2 linked regions of the Drosophila melanogaster genome follow. The protein of the gene in region 2 interacts with the protein of the main gene of each other region in a pairwise test. Each region holds a gene or a part of one and is shown on either strand. Other genes may lie near its edges.

Region 1 (3,754 bases), on a different chromosome or scaffold from region 2:
TATCTTTTATATACAAAACATTCATATCTATGAGAAGCCCATTCAAAACCATGTGTTAGAAAGTAGGCAACAAAAAAGTTACATTATTCTGAAATGCCAACAAACTAATAGTTCAAACTTTTAATAAACTTTAAATGGTCTTTAGTGGTTTGAGATTAAGAGTTTCGACTGCTCAACGAATTTTTTGTGAATTAGAACCATTACCGCGTCGGCCATTCAATGGGCATAATAAATTAGTCAGCTCGGGTACTTTGCCATGCGGTCCGGATCAGGTGACGAGCCTACCTCTATTTAGTTTGTATGTCCAGGGAAAGTGTGTACATACATATACAAAATGGAAACGGACTTGGTTGGAAATTTATGCAGCAACAAGGTCAATCGATAAATGCAGAGCCGAAAGGTACACCCAAAACCCAAGACGAGTTGCCAAGGTAAAACAAAAAATAACGGTAAACGACAGGTGCCGCAGCCGCTGACAGGCTCAGGTAAAGGTACAGGTGTGGTCGGGGCCGTTATTCCCTTGGATTTTCCTTCCTTCTTTGGTTATTTGGTCGCTCGAGGCAACGGCAATTAAAAGCAGTCAACTGTTTACGGCTTTGTTTAGTGGAAGTCGTTGGCCGAAGTAAGCTTTAAATATGCATGAGAACATGTTCAAACATGCACATGCACGCATTGCACGCAATGAATTGTTTATCGTTATCGATAACGTGGCATTGAAATACTTTTTGCGGTCTAGCCGCAGTTTACTTTTTGTTGTTTTTGAGCTGTTTACCACGAACGGAACGATCGCAAACGATCAAAACAACTTGTTATTCTACAATTGCGAAAAAAGTGCCATAGCAACGATAACAAAAACAAGAAACCGCAGAGAGAATTGCATTTACAGCCGTCATTGTTGTTTTTGCCACTTGCAATTGCACGCCCCTCGCTTTTGTTGTTGATTTGTATCTAATTACCGGAGACTCAAAAGTCAAATCATGAATGTTCGGAGAGAAAATTGAGAAAAAAGATACTTCACCTTACATGAAAGCGTATGACACTGCAACAGTAGCTATAAATTGCATCAGAATGTCGGACTGGAACAGTTTAAATATAAGTCTAGCCGATTTAAAAATACCTAAGGCTTACACCAGCGTTAATCAGCTGAGATTTCGGTTATTTTCCACATCAATGATTAAGCATTAATGCAAAAAAGAAAGTATTGAAAACAGGGGGATCAACCAGACGCAAAAAGTACACTTCGTTTTCAAAGTGATAAGCAGCATGCGCCCGTGTTTGGATTTTACCAGACAACATTTCTAGAACCGGGGTCATAAATGCCACACTTGTTATTTGTTTGTCGATAATTTTTGAGGTAGTCTTTCGATGTCTGGACCCAGAACCAGGTCTCCTGGCAATCTTCAAGTATGAAATGGTGCCAGAAAAGATAAGGAGCGATGGTCTCCTGCTGGAAAATCTGGTTCTAGGCGGTTCTTCTAAGCAGTCGAGTGTCGCGAGTTTAATGACAGCTCAACCATAATTGTTTCTATTGTTTATATATTTTGTGATAAGCAGACATTGTCGCATTCATGCAGCACATGTTGTGATCAAAGGTTCACGTTCCCCCAAAGCAATTCTCTCTCAATTGAAACTGATTAAATGAAAATTGAGCGTAATTCGCGGATAAAAATATAAGCCATAGAAGTTAGGGTATTCTGGAAGTCTTCTTGAACTGACCGAAAAACGAAAACGGTTTGGAGTTTGTAACAAAAACGCATTTCTCTCCCACTCGCACACTTGTAATGCTTATCGTTCGATCGCTACACTGAAAAGAAAGCAACTGCGTTTACATTTTGTAAGAATAAATTACAATTATTGATATTTCGATTTGATAATGTATTTAAATGTAAAATTTTAATCTAGTTTCTTGTGGCTTAAATTGTTATGCAAATCAGCTAGTTGGACAAAAATAGTTTCGTCTGGACATAAATTTTTCTTTCCGTGTGGTCGGTAATCATTTTTTCGTTCCGTGTGGTCAGTGTGAAAAGAGAGAACGACAAAAAGAGAGAAACCGCTTTTGTGTGCGTTGAGCGGGTTTTCTTAAAAGGGCGATCGACTGTTTTTGAGTCACTTGTGAAAAATCAGTCATCGCGAGCAGTTCGACTAAGGAAAACCCGCTGGCACACACAAACCGTAACCACTTATCAAACAAAAACAGCTGGCCCGCAACGCGAAGCGCGTGTGCAAAAAGAAACGAGAAAACATACACAACAAAAAAGCACAAGATATAAGAGATACACAAAAAGAGAAGCAGTGGAAAATTTTGGGCACCAAACACAGCCGAAGCTTTTACGCCAAACGTTAAACGAAAAGCCAAAACTTAAACCGCTTCCAAAAAACACAACGTGTTCGCCGGTCGAGATGAGCGGTTCCGTATTGAGTTTGGCGCGTCCTGCAGCAGCCACAAATGGCCATAATCTGCTGACCAAACAGCTGAATTGCAATGGCAATGGCACCACCGGTGGCGCGGCGAAAACCACTGTGGCCTCGGCCATAACACCGCCCAAGCAGCCCCAGTTGGCGGCCAAGGTCATCCAGCAGTCGCAGATCGTCTGTTTCGATGTGGACTCCACGGTGATTTGCGAGGAGGGCATCGACGAACTGGCCGAATATTGTGGCAAGGGGAGCGAGGTGGCTCGCGTTACCAAGGAGGCGATGGGCGGTGCCATGACCTTCCAGGATGCCCTCAAAATTCGCTTGAACATCATACGGCCGACACAGCAGCAAGTGAGGGATTTCATCCAGGAGCGACCCAGTACACTGAGCAAAAACGTGAAGCGTTTCGTCAGCCATTTGAAGGCGGAGGGAAAACAGGTTTACTTGATCTCCGGCGGATTCGATTGCCTAATTGCGCCCGTGGCCAATGAATTGGGTATTCCCCTGAAAAACGTCTATGCCAACAAGATGCTGTTCGATTATTTGGGCGAATACGATAGCTTTGATATCAACCAGCCCACTTCGCGTTCCGGCGGAAAGGCAGAGGCTATCGCCCTGATAAGGAAGGAGAATAGCGACGATTCCCTAATCACCATGATCGGCGATGGAGCCACCGATCTGGAGGCCGTACCGCCAGCCAACTACTTTATAGGTTTCGGTGGCAATGTCGTGCGGCCGGAGGTCTATCGCCGTGCACAGTATTACGTAACGGATTTTGAGCAGCTGATGGGGCAGTGAGATACGTATACGTAAGGCGGTGGGGGAGTGGCGAATTTAGTATTTGAAATCAACGTGTTATAGCTCGTAGTGATGCACATGTTTATGCCCAAGTATGTGTGTAATAATATGTACGTTAGTTCGTAATTAAACAATAATAAAAAGCGATAGTAATAAATGGAAAACGAACAAGTGAAATCAACTTTGTTACTGTTAACTTAACAGAATATGTTAAGCGCGCACTGTTAGTGAATCAGCAGAAGTTGTAAAAATACAGGGTGCGCCCTTATGCTAATGAACAGTTCACGCTTTAGCATCCAACTGTAAGCAATTTATTTAATTTAAAGAAATTTCATGCACATAAAATATGTATAAAAATAAATTTCTGTATTTATATGTTTATGGCGAACAAAAACGAAAAATACAACAAAAGTTTAAATAAAACATTCATTTTTCTATGGAATAGTATGTTAAATACTTTATTTAAATTTTTGATTGTAGGTACCAATTAGGTAAAACCAATTAAAGCCTAAATGTTTTAAATGCAGCCTTGCAGAGCTAT
Region 2 (3,754 bases):
AGTCGAGGGAAGTACGTGCCGCCGCCCTGGCGAACTTCATTAAGCTGACGGAGAAGAAATTAATCTTTACAAGCCACTTTTCAAAACTCAGGATACAAACATAGAAGAGTGTGGTGGCAATACGATCACTGGTTCCATTGAACCTGTTTTTTTCCGACAGCAACATGTCCAAATGCGTCTCGAAGAAACCCCCTAGCCCGTAGTTAATGACCTGATAGAACTCCGTAGAGTTCATGTCCAGCCCAGTCGCATCTCCCAAGCGCTCGGTTATCTTCTTGGTCGTATCGTTGAAGTCACTGCTATACCAAACAGACTTTGAGGTGCGGTATGTGTCGACTTGTGTTTCGTCATCGGATGCATCTGGGTCAGTTGTGGCAGACGGCAACATGTGTTCCTTGCTCGAAGTTCTAATGAGAGTACTCTCCTTTTGGGAGATCATGTCATGGAGGAGCACTACGAAGGGATCAATCGATAGAATCTCCGTTTTGATGGGGGCCAGTTGCAGAAATGGGGAGGTAACATGGTTATATACACAATATAGATTACTCAGATTTCGGGGAACTTGACAGCGACCACTGCAACAGGGCGGAAGAACCAATCTTTCGTGGGAGTTGTCCTTATCCTGTTCAATCGGTTCGATATCTGACAACGTAAGATCTCTTTTTTCCAGGATCCGATACTCCTCATATATTTCTGGGTCATGAGGCGAAAGCTTTAGCGCAACCTGATAGGCTTGAAGAGCACCCTCATGATTTCCTGCAATCAATAGAAGTCTCATGCCCAACCCAAATAACCTTTTGAATGCACTTCCTACTTACTCTGCTTCATTTGTACTTGACCCAGTATTCTGCACAGGTCAGCCAGTTTTGGTCCCCTCAATAACTCCATATCGGTCTGAGAACTTTTCTGATCATAGGCTTCAATGCTAGCACTTATCCATTGCTCGGCAGCATACCAACGCGAGTTATTCATCAGATGAAGACCAATTGCGAGACAATCGATGGGTTTTAGAGAAGAGCTTTAAGTAATTACATTAATTAAAAACTCCCTCTTGATTAGGATGACATCATCACCTACTTGTATTGCACTCCATCTAGTAAGCCTTTGGCTATATCTGAGGAAAACATCTGGTATGTGGCCTGCATTTTTCTAATGCCTTCAGCGGCATCTATAAAGTCAAAGTACTTTGGCAATAGGGGCATCCTTGAGTCCACAAAAAACAATTCCTCTGTGCAAAGAGACTCTTAAGTAATAAGAAATATCTCAAACCATTTATCTAACCTTGGCCAACAGGCGTTTCCAAGTACAATAGCCACATCAACCAGTTCGACTGCATGTGACGAATGAGGGAAAAGGTGTCAATCGGATTGGCAAAAATTTCCATAGACGACTTATACTCCTGTCGCCTTTTCATCATCTTGAAGACGCCCCTTCAAAGCTTGCATTGCATTAAGAAATCCTTGTGATTGTTTGGACCTACGCATTACTCACCATTTAATGGTTTTGGCTTTTCGTGCAAGCGCTTCCGCCAGCTTTTCCACATTTGAGACAAGATCGTCCTCTAAGTTCAGCATATCATCCATATTCACCACAGATCTTGCAAAGCGCTGTTGGGCATTGTTCTCTCGCAACTGGCCAAAACTCAGGGACAGATAGAGCATTCCCAGGAGCACCAATCTCCAGAACAGCATTCTGAAACCCACTGTGCATCCAGCTAGAGAAAAAAAGCATTCTGTACCGTTCTGTACATAATCATATTGATACACCCATTAGTTTCACCTTATTCCATAGTTCGTCTGGGGTTTGTTTCGCTTCAACTTTAATGTTTCCCCATATATGTTTTTTCCTTATACTTATTAATTATTATTGGCAAAGGCTAGATAATAATCTTCTCTATTGATGACAAATATTTTGAGTCTAAGCGCGATCTTAAGCAGGGCCTTCTGAACTCTTGACCTTTGTCGTCTATCCACTTGCTGACAACTGTGAAGGGTAATGAAGCCTATAAAACACAAGAAGATCCAGAAATGCAAGCTCTACTAACCCCATTTGGACCCCACAATAACTGGGCAGCCGGTGTGCATTGTTCGCACATGCAGCATACCCTCCGTGTGCAGATTGTACCACATGAGAACAGTTCCAAACTTTGGAAAGACAGTGATATTTAGACCCGGAAAATGGGTGGCACCGCCTTGTGGAACATCATTTAGCTGGAATTGGAAGAGTCGCTAAGATTATAAGAAAACTGTTAGCGTCAAACGAAGGACTGACATAAAAAAGTGTTGTGGCGAGTCTATCAATATATCCGTTAACGAATCGATCCTCGTCCGCAAGCGACGTGTCAAAATGGCTTTCAAAGACGCCTCCAATTCCATAGTTGATGACCTGAAAAGGCTCGGAATGTTTCATATCCAAGCCAGTTGCTTCACCCAAACGTTGAGTAAGCTTTAAAGTCGCCTCGTTGGCATCACTGTCAAACCAAACTGACTTTGAAGTGCGGAACTTGGCAATTTCAAACTCATTTGCGGCGTTGACTGTTTCGGAAGGAAGGATCTGATTTTTACTGGAAGATCTTATAAGAGCACCCTCCTTGTGAGAGACCATGTCGTGTAGAAGAATCACGAAGGGGTCAACCGAGAGAATCTCCGTTTTGATGGGGGCCAGTCGCAGAAAAGGAGCAGTTACACAATTATACACACAATATAGTCTGTTGAGTTTTCGCGGCCCTTCACAACGACCACTGCAGCAAGGCGGCAGCTCCATTTCTTCGATATCATCATTTGGTTCCTCTCGGATCGGTTCACTTGGTGATAACGTAAGAACCCTCCTCTTCAAGTTTTGATACTCCTGGAATATTTCCAGATCATGGGGCGAATGCTTGAGAGCAGCTTGATAAGCTTTCAGGGCTCCTTCTTCATTTCCTACAATCAACAAAAATGTATTCCTAGTAAAACCATAGTTTGCCTTTTTTTGAACTTACTCCTTTCGAACCGCACTTTACCGAGTGTTCTAAAGAGTTCAGCTTTTGTCGGCCCCCTCAGTAAGATCATCTCTGTTTGAGGACCTTTCCGATCCTGGGCCTTAATACCTGCCAGAATCCATTGTTCGGCAATCGTCCATCGCGATTGATTCATCAAATGTCGACCCATTGCAAGGCAATCGATAGGTGACAGTTTTGAACTTGGATTGATATAGATTAAATAAGAACTAGGAGGAAATGGTTCTTCTACATACGTGTACTGAACTCCATCTAGGAAACCCTCCGCTATGTCATTGGATAACATCGCGTAAGTAGCTTGCATTCTTCTTATAGCTTCTGATGCGTCAAACAAGTCAAGTTCCTGGGGCATCCTCAAATTGTCCATCTGTTTATAATTCAACTCATCTACAGAGATGACAGCGTTATAGCTTGAATATATTAAAACATAATGACGAACCACGAATCACGGGTTTATCTAAATATTGTTTCCACATCAACCAATCCGCCTGCATGTGACGAATGAAGGAGTACCTGTTAAATAAATCGAAGGACTGCTCCTTCTTGCTCTTATCGAGCTGTTCCCTCATCTGTTGAATTCCCCTTTAAGTAAGCCTTATGAGCCCTTTTTAGAAATGCTGACCAATTTGACTCACCATCTGATGGTATTGGCTTTATAAGATAACTTTTCAGCGTAGCCTTCCAATTTGGAGACCAGATCGTCTTCCATGTTCAGAAGGTCATCCATATTCACCACAGATCTTGCAAAGCGCGGCT

What was found. The genes of interacting proteins can lie anywhere in the genome.
Region 1: the proteins of PH4alphaNE2 (region 2) and aay interact in a two-hybrid assay, tested with the Drosophila melanogaster proteins (one large-scale study listed by BioGRID).

Annotation. Positions count from the first base shown.
Region 1 is NT_037436.4:9,421,150-9,424,903, forward strand, and holds aay (astray), read left to right. Parts: upstream 1-2,103; 5' UTR 2,104-2,400; coding exon 2,401-3,213; 3' UTR 3,214-3,632; downstream 3,633-3,754. UniProt on the Drosophila melanogaster protein: Catalyzes the last step in the biosynthesis of serine from carbohydrates. The reaction mechanism proceeds via the formation of a phosphoryl-enzyme intermediates.
Region 2 is NT_033777.3:30,510,520-30,514,273, forward strand, and holds the start of PH4alphaNE2 (prolyl-4-hydroxylase-alpha NE2), read right to left. Parts: upstream 1,696-3,754; 5' UTR 1,692-1,695; coding exon 1,492-1,691; intron 1,431-1,491; coding exon 1,282-1,430; intron 1,229-1,281; coding exon 1,078-1,228; intron 1,019-1,077; coding exon 819-1,018; intron 757-818; coding exon 101-756; intron 45-100; coding exon 1-44. Other genes in the region: CG31524 (uncharacterized protein), read right to left, coding at 1,877-1,983, 2,045-2,210, 2,272-2,921, 2,981-3,180, 3,235-3,385, 3,438-3,580, 3,634-3,754.